Saccharomyces cerevisiae S288C: one gene and its partner. Changing the gene in region 1 together with any one later gene gives a genetic interaction. Each region holds a gene or a part of one and is shown in the gene's direction. Other genes may lie near its edges.

Region 1 (5,335 bases):
ATATTCCAACAACATAATTATCGTGTAATTTACTTGTAGAGGAATCAAAATGGTATGGAATACACTTGACGTCTTGTACCCATGGTTGACAGATGTTGATAACGCAACTCATGAAGTATCTCAAATCCGAAAGATCTCTTGCCAACGGCCCAATTACACTGGGAATTGTTTCCCTTCCCTCAAATGAATTATCCACCCTCAAGTAAGGGACGCGTCCAAAAGTTGGTTTCAAACCAAATAATCCTTGGTAACTACTAGGAATTCTGATGCTTCCGCCTATATCAGTTCCTAGTCCCAGCAAGGAACCATGAGCACCAATTAACGAACCCTCTCCACCAGAAGATCCACCACTGGAGAAGCTTAAATTAATACTATTATATGTGTACCCAAAGGTGTTAGATTGTGTATCTGTAGCCATCATCGATGAAGGTACGGTGGTTTTTACAAATATAATAGCTCCTAAATCTCTCAGAAAACTGACAATCAATGATTCTTCATTCTTGGTTTTTGGTTTGAAAGTTCGACATAAATAACCCAGTGAGGTGTCTACACCCTCAACGTTACATTGGTCTTTGAGAGATATCGGTATACCGTACAAGGGTGGCAATATGGCTGGTCTATTGCTGTCGTAATAGTCAGCCAATCTCAATGCCTCTGAAAACATGATTTCGGATAGACAATTCACTACTTGATGAATTAAAGCAGCCCTATGACAAAATGCAGCTGTTATTTCATGGCAGCTTAACTCTTTTGCTTCCAGTGCCTGTCTCAAGGCCATAATCGTGGAGTGGGTGATCTGATTTTCTGAAGATGAGCATAAATCATCGATATTCTTGATTAAATTTTTTTTATCGTTCTTCAACCTCGTTATAGTTGTGCTGTTTAATTTCCATTCGTCTTTTATCTTACTGTTCAGTTGATCTTTTTTTAATTGAACTTTTTCCTTCCACGTTGAGTGCACAGTCATTGTATAACTTTGGTACCGTGTTGTCTGTCGTTAATAACAGGTCAGAGCGGCTGTCCCTTCCACTCCCCATTGAAAAAAAAGTATTTACTCGACTATATATATGTAATACGCTTTTGAATACTAAAATAATGTTATCAGTAATCTTATCTATTATTATCATATTATCATATTATTAGCTATTATTATATCATGAGCAATTCGCGCGCGCGGCATTTGAGATAGCAAACTTAATCCGTCACACAGATAATACTACAAATTATGACACATAATACTCCCGGTACTCAATAATATCTCATTGTTCGGTCACGAATGTGTCATTGACTATCCAATAGAGAATCAAATACAACGACTACTGGGAACTTATCTCCAGAAAGCCGGCTAAAAGTAGGTGCTTGACATAAAAAAATCTCCCGGGGGCGAGTCGAACGCCCGATCTCAAGATTTCGTAGTGATAAATTACAGTCTTGCGCCTTAAACCAACTTGGCTACCGAGAGTCGATTTCTTGCGAGGTGTTGTATCTCAAAATGAGATACGTCAGTATGACAATACGTCATCCTAAACGTTCATAAAACACATATGAAACAACCTTATAACAAAACGAACAACATGAGACAAAACCCGTCCTTCCCTAGCTGAACTACCCAAAAGTATAAATGCCTGAACAATTAGTTTAGATCCGAGATTCCGCGCTTCCACCACTTAGTATGATTCATATTTTATATAATATATAAGATAAGTAACATTCCGTGAATTAATCTGATAAACTGTTTTGACAACTGGTTACTTCCCTAAGACTGTTTATATTAGGATTGTCAAAACACTCCGGTATTACTCGAGCCCGTAATACAACACGAGGGCTTGAAATATGTTTCTTATAATTAATATCAAACTTGTTTGGAGGTTCCTATGACAGCGCCTCATAACTCGTGTCATCTTTGTACTTGTTAGAGATTGTTGGGACAGATGAACATTAACTTTTCATAAGATATTACAATAGCAATATAAATACTTAAATGGTATACTATAGTTCTAATGGAATTCTAGCATCATCTATTTAGTAGTATTTATATTATTAGTATATTATCGCATACGGTATAAGAAGATGTAGTTTACTTGCTTCAAACCAGTGACCTGAGAAAGGGGTGAATAATTTGATGATTGTTGGGATTCAATCCTTGGTAAAGGTATAATATTATGAATGAATAATGTACTAGAAGCTCTCCCCGAGATATAAGAACCCGCAAAAGAGGATCGGTATTCTTACGTAATAATATTATAATCTCATCTTCCATTTTTTATGTGACATTATCCTATTACATCATGAGTTGTTGCATTTCCTCTTCCATTTGATGACTGTCTTTCAATCTTTATGTCATCTTCTTACACCGCATTTGATAATATACTACTAACACGAATGCTAATAAACAGATGATATTTTGGATTTTTACTCCAACATGATCTTTAATTACTTCTTCATATTTCTTATTCTCATGATTGCTACTGGTTTGTTGTAACCTTTTTTTTATTTGAGCTAGAATTTTCAGCGCGCATCGCAGTGTAGAAAACATTAAAGTTATATTATATACTATAGTAGAAGTTTGACGTTGAGAAACAGTTTCCCTTCGACTAATATAAGCAAAAAATATTAGTATCATGCGCCCAAGAAGGAGAGGATTAGCGTATCATCATACCAAGCCGAAGGGACAACTTTCACAAGGACATTATCCTACGACATCCAATGATGGCCAAAGAAGGAAGGTCGGTAATTCTGAAGCATTCCAATCTTTTGATATATGGAAAAACCTAGATAGGATAAGGTCGACTAAGAAGAATGCAGGGCAATTCATAAAAGGTAGTCTGCTCATACTCCCCATGAGAACGGAAGATAAACAACAGTTCGACGAGTGCATGGATGAATTGCATAAGTATATATCGAAGGATATATTACGATGTTATCCACAGAAAGAGCAGAAAGATGAAGGCATGCTTTTCTACATAGTTTTGAAGGACTTCAATATATTGGACTCTTGCTTCGTATTATCAGTTCTGCTTGCTTTCCAGAAGCGATTATGGATGGCACCATCCGAAAAATCATACTTTAGAGTTCCTAAGAATATTAACTTGACAGGTTCGTTTTATTTGCCCAAGAATATAGAAACTGGTAGAGGCCATATAATAACAAGCTATAGAAGAGAGCAGCCCTCATCCAGTATTGTAGAAGTTGGTTTCAATGTTGTTCCAGATTTTCAACAGTTTCAAGTTAAGGCTTGTCATGTAAGTAAGTTCATGAATGAGCTTTCTAATTTTTTTTCACAAGTAGAATTTGGCAAGTGTGAAGCTAACGTGATAAACTACTTTAAGCGTGAATATAACCGCACTTATTCACAGATATCACTTGCCCTCTACGAACTTCCATTAATTGGCGATGGCTTGTTTGATATAAAGTCGTACATTAGTAAAACCAGGCCAATTATAGAAACATCAAAAGCTCAAATGATTAAACATATTTCTGAAATGAAGGCATATAACGAAATAAGTGGCCTTCAAGGAGATCAATTTCCACGACAACAAAGACCTTTATCGAATTCGCCCTCTTCAAATTCAATTTCCTCTTCTCAAACTATTGAAGCAGGTGCAACTTCATATCAAACACAACCACAGAGACACGCTGTTAATAAGCCATCAAATGTATTGAATTCTTCCAATCGTCATTCCGGGCCAAAAACTTTTGAGGACGGAAGGTATAGTGAAGGTAATAAACCGGGTTTTATGACGCAGGATGAAATCAAACAACATTGCATTGGTACCATAAAAGCTTCTATGGATGCAGTGAAAAAGAAGTCTTCGTATCAGATTCTAAAGACATACGTTAGGTGTCCAAGACAAAATTATATTGATATTGTTTATCAAAATCTAAATGATCTACGATCAAAGACAAATTGTAATATCGTCGTATTGAATCTGAATAATCTTCACGAGTCACAAATGTGGCTTGAATCTTTAAATACAACAAATTACACTATTTTTGCTCAGGCGCCTCACCCAAGTACCATCCGCGTTATTAGTATTGGTGGAGTCGGTGAATATATAGTCAAAGCATTAGAGCTGATATTGAATATATTAGAACATTGAGTCGCATATAACAGTGGAGGTGTATAGATATATTTAAAAAACCTTTTGGTTATTTTTTCTCTTTCATGGCATTTGCTCCGTATGCAAAGCGATAGTTTAATTTAATGTTTTCTTTCAAATGTCATCGCGGATTCAAAGAGCGCACTATTATTATTTGGCAAAAGTTTAAGAGGGAAAATGTTGAAATAGCATGTTCTGCAAAGCGAATTACAGGTTTTGAAGGAGTCTACAGGTAAAGTCTAATAATACAGTGATGTTTGATGGCTTTAGCAACAATAAAGGTAAACGAAGGTCTTTTTTTCGGTTTGGTTCTGAAAGTAAAAACAATGACTCTGAAAAATCCGTTAGAAAGCCATCGGTGCCCTCTACAATAAAGAAATCAACAAATATCGCACGAACTTCGACGGCTGAAACTTCTGCCCCTGATATACCGCCAAGAAGTCCAAATAGGAATGCTCATAGCAGGAGCCATTCTATCCAGGCACCATTACAAAAGGAAACATTAAAGAATACTAATCCATTTTTGAATGCTGAGGATACCTTAGGAGATTCTCTTGAATTAACACAGTCCAAGGAAGCGTCAGGAAACGATCACAAAGGAATTGAATATTTACAAGAAAACAACATCATTGGGCAGAGAACCAACCCCTTCACAACAAGCGCAAATTCAAATGCACATTTCTCCAAGATAAAACGTTCGAGGCCTCCACCACCGCCTATGGACATGAAGTCAATAACAACGTCAATAAGCAACAATACTACTAAGGAAGAAATAGAGAGTAATAATGATTCTGAGCGGGATAGTATTGCAATCTCATCCACCCACAATCAACATAGGCGGCAGCGTTCAGAAGCAGAAAAGTTGGTAGATGATATTGAAAATTACATTAATGAACACAAGGTAAGTTCCGGTAGCTCACTATCCCTAGACACGTCTGAAAACTCAGATACTAAAGCATCGCAAGATAAGTTGCCAGTAGATGTCATGGAAGCTCCCATTTTGAGAAATGTCAGCGCGGAGAGTTCCTTAAGCTACGTAAAACCACTTATTGTGGATAATGAAGAAGTAAATAAAGCAAGTAACGGAAATTTAGTACAATCAGATCATCTAAAAGAATTTTCTTCGAATCTGGATGATGGGGATGATAAATTTTCCTTTAGTACATCGGCTAGTGGTAAATCCACCAAAAGCCTTCAGCAAGTTTCTAAAGACGAATCTAGTGGTTTTAAAGCTG
Region 2 (4,040 bases), on another chromosome or scaffold:
AAGAGAAGTTGTCCAAAGGAGTATAATTATTGACAAGGATTTGGAATCTGATAATCTGGGTATTACTACGGCAAACTTCAACGATTTCTATGATGCATTTTATAATTAGTAAGCCGATCCCATTACCGACATTTGGGCGCTATACGTGCATATGTTCATGTATGTATCTGTATTTAAAACACTTTTGTATTATTTTTCCTCATATATGTGTATAGGTTTATACGGATGATTTAATTATTACTTCACCACCCTTTATTTCAGGCTGATATCTTAGCCTTGTTACTAGTTAGAAAAAGACATTTTTGCTGTCAGTCACTGTCAAGAGATTCTTTTGCTGGCATTTCTTCTAGAAGCAAAAAGAGCGATGCGTCTTTTCCGCTGAACCGTTCCAGCAAAAAAGACTACCAACGCAATATGGATTGTCAGAATCATATAAAAGAGAAGCAAATAACTCCTTGTCTTGTATCAATTGCATTATAATATCTTCTTGTTAGTGCAATATCATATAGAAGTCATCGAAATAGATATTAAGAAAAACAAACTGTACAATCAATCAATCAATCATCACATAAAATGTTCAGCGAATTAATTAACTTCCAAAATGAAGGTCATGAGTGCCAATGCCAATGTGGTAGCTGCAAAAATAATGAACAATGCCAAAAATCATGTAGCTGCCCAACGGGGTGTAACAGCGACGACAAATGCCCCTGCGGTAACAAGTCTGAAGAAACCAAGAAGTCATGCTGCTCTGGGAAATGAAACGAATAGTCTTTAATATATTCATCTAACTATTTGCTGTTTTTAATTTTTAAAAGGAGAAGGAAGTTTAATCGACGATTCTACTCAGTTTGAGTACACTTATGTATTTTGTTTAGATACTTTGTTAATTTATAGGTATACGTTAATAATTAAGAAAAGGAAATAAAGTATCTCCATATGTCGCCCCAAGAATAAAATATTATTACCAAATTCTAGTTTGCCTAACTTACAACTCTGTATAGAATCCCCAGATTTCGAATAAAAAAAAAAAAAAAAGCTATTCATGGTACCCGCTGCTGAAAACCTATCTCCGATACCTGCCTCTATTGATACGAACGACATTCCTTTAATTGCTAACGATTTAAAATTACTGGAAACGCAAGCAAAATTGATAAATATTCTGCAAGGTGTTCCTTTCTACTTGCCAGTAAATTTAACCAAAATTGAAAGTCTGTTAGAAACCTTGACTATGGGCGTGAGTAATACAGTAGACTTATATTTTCATGACAACGAAGTCAGAAAAGAATGGAAAGACACTTTAAATTTTATCAATACCATTGTTTATACAAATTTTTTCCTTTTTGTTCAAAACGAATCCTCTTTGTCCATGGCAGTTCAACATTCTTCTAACAACAATAAGACCTCGAACTCTGAAAGATGTGCAAAGGATCTGATGAAAATTATTTCTAATATGCACATTTTTTACTCAATAACATTTAATTTTATCTTCCCCATAAAGTCGATAAAGTCATTTTCAAGCGGCAATAATCGCTTTCATTCTAATGGTAAAGAATTTTTATTCGCAAATCATTTTATTGAAATCTTACAGAATTTTATAGCAATCACATTTGCTATTTTCCAACGTTGTGAAGTAATATTATATGACGAATTTTACAAAAATCTTTCAAATGAGGAGATTAATGTTCAATTGCTATTGATTCATGACAAGATTTTGGAAATTTTAAAAAAAATAGAAATTATCGTATCCTTTTTACGAGATGAAATGAATAGCAACGGAAGTTTCAAATCTATTAAAGGTTTCAACAAGGTTTTGAATCTGATTAAATATATGCTGAGATTTAGCAAGAAAAAACAAAATTTTGCGAGAAACTCTGATAACAATAATGTTACAGATTATAGTCAGTCGGCGAAGAACAAAAATGTTCTCTTGAAATTCCCCGTTAGTGAACTGAACAGAATCTATTTAAAATTTAAGGAGATTTCAGATTTTTTAATGGAAAGAGAAGTTGTCCAAAGGAGTATAATTATTGACAAGGATTTGGAATCTGATAATCTGGGTATTACTACGGCAAACTTCAACGATTTCTATGATGCATTTTATAATTAGTAAGCCGATCCCATTACCGACATTTGGGCGCTATACGTGCATATGTTCATGTATGTATCTGTATTTAAAACACTTTTGTATTATTTTTCCTCATATATGTGTATAGGTTTATACGGATGATTTAATTATTACTTCACCACCCTTTATTTCAGGCTGATATCTTAGCCTTGTTACTAGTTAGAAAAAGACATTTTTGCTGTCAGTCACTGTCAAGAGATTCTTTTGCTGGCATTTCTTCTAGAAGCAAAAAGAGCGATGCGTCTTTTCCGCTGAACCGTTCCAGCAAAAAAGACTACCAACGCAATATGGATTGTCAGAATCATATAAAAGAGAAGCAAATAACTCCTTGTCTTGTATCAATTGCATTATAATATCTTCTTGTTAGTGCAATATCATATAGAAGTCATCGAAATAGATATTAAGAAAAACAAACTGTACAATCAATCAATCAATCATCACATAAAATGTTCAGCGAATTAATTAACTTCCAAAATGAAGGTCATGAGTGCCAATGCCAATGTGGTAGCTGCAAAAATAATGAACAATGCCAAAAATCATGTAGCTGCCCAACGGGGTGTAACAGCGACGACAAATGCCCCTGCGGTAACAAGTCTGAAGAAACCAAGAAGTCATGCTGCTCTGGGAAATGAAACGAATAGTCTTTAATATATTCATCTAACTATTTGCTGTTTTTAATTTTTAAAAGGAGAAGGAAGTTTAATCGACGATTCTACTCAGTTTGAGTACACTTATGTATTTTGTTTAGATACTTTGTTAATTTATAGGTATACGTTAATAATTAAGAAAAGGAAATAAAGTATCTCCATATGTCGCCCCAAGAATAAAATATTATTACCAAATTCTAGTTTGCCTAACTTACAACTCTGTATAGAATCCCCAGATTTCGAATAAAAAAAAAGCATATGTATTAATCCTAAAATGTATTATGAGAACGTCTTTTAAAGGTAAAATGCTGTTATCCCCGTCACTTTCAATGATCTATTTATTTGAAGCGGATAGTACAACAGATCAGTCTAAAACGTATAAGCTCTTAGACCGAGAAACCAATATTCAAATAATGACTTTATTTTTAATATACACTTCAAACATATATAGATATATACATATGCACCGCACTCTATGAAATTCAAATTTTTTTCTTCACAAGAAAAAAATGAGAGAAAAGATAGATAAGGAGGAAACAAATTAACTTTTAGCCTTCTTGACAGCTTCTGACTCGCTAGATTCTTTTTCAAGCTCGCTAGAAGATCTCTTTTTTGCATTGTTAATTTGTTTAGAGAAAATTGAACCCAATTCGGAAGGATTGGCGATTTCCATCAAACCCTTGTTGAAGGTAGACAAATGAACTTGTACACCATCAATGGTGACCATGTCATCTTCGTGGGTTTCTTCGATTTTGTCCTTTTTAGCTTCAAGTTCATCAAGAACGTCCTGGTTATAGTATAATGGCAATACGGGCGACCTATTGGTCTTGATAAAAATGGATCTGATTTGGTATGCTTTGATTAACTGTTCAGAAATTAATTCAACGTTATCTACAAACTCTTCTGGCCTTAACCATTCTAAATTACCCAAATGGACATTCAACGTGGTACCTCTTGGAAGTTTAACGGGCAACTGATTCATGTAAACCTTTTTGATATTGTTCGTCAAAGTGGTCAAGGAAAATTCCTTATTTGCATGTGTTCTAATTGATATAGGAGTAGTTTCTACTTTGTTGTAGGCTTTGCCTCCCATAAGTTTTGGCAAAGATGTAACTATACTGTCGTCAGCCAAAATCAAAGAAAACTGAGATATAAAAGCGTTTCTAGCCTCATATGCCTTGTAAACGGTCTTTAAGTCTTTCCCGCAAATGATTTCATCAACCTTGATTCCTTCTGAATCTAATTGATCAAATAAATCATCTTCTGAA

Evidence for each region.
Region 2: mutations in SNU56 (region 1) and CUP1-1 are lethal when combined (synthetic lethality), as found in Saccharomyces cerevisiae (one study listed by BioGRID).

Annotation. Positions count from the first base shown.
Region 1 is NC_001136.10:942,439-947,773, reverse strand, and holds SNU56 (Snu56p), read left to right. Parts: upstream 1-2,621; coding exon 2,622-4,100; downstream 4,101-5,335. Other genes in the region: AMD2 (putative amidase), read right to left, coding at 1-967; YDR239C (uncharacterized protein), read left to right, coding at 4,354-5,335. UniProt on the Saccharomyces cerevisiae protein: Component of the U1 snRNP particle, which recognizes and binds the 5'-splice site of pre-mRNA. Together with other non-snRNP factors, U1 snRNP forms the spliceosomal commitment complex, that targets pre-mRNA to the splicing pathway.
Region 2 is NC_001140.6:211,252-215,291, reverse strand, and holds CUP1-1 (metallothionein CUP1-1), read left to right. Parts: upstream 1-2,571; coding exon 2,572-2,757; downstream 2,758-4,040. Other genes in the region: RSC30 (Rsc30p), read left to right, coding at 1-109; metallothionein CUP1-2, read left to right, coding at 574-759; YHR054C-B (uncharacterized protein), read left to right, coding at 602-775; YHR054C (uncharacterized protein), read left to right, coding at 1,043-2,107; YHR052C-B (uncharacterized protein), read left to right, coding at 2,600-2,773; CIC1 (Cic1p), read right to left, coding at 3,314-4,040. UniProt on the Saccharomyces cerevisiae protein: Protects the cell against copper toxicity by tightly chelating copper ions. May also act as a depository for copper designated for the effective transfer into the apo forms of copper proteins.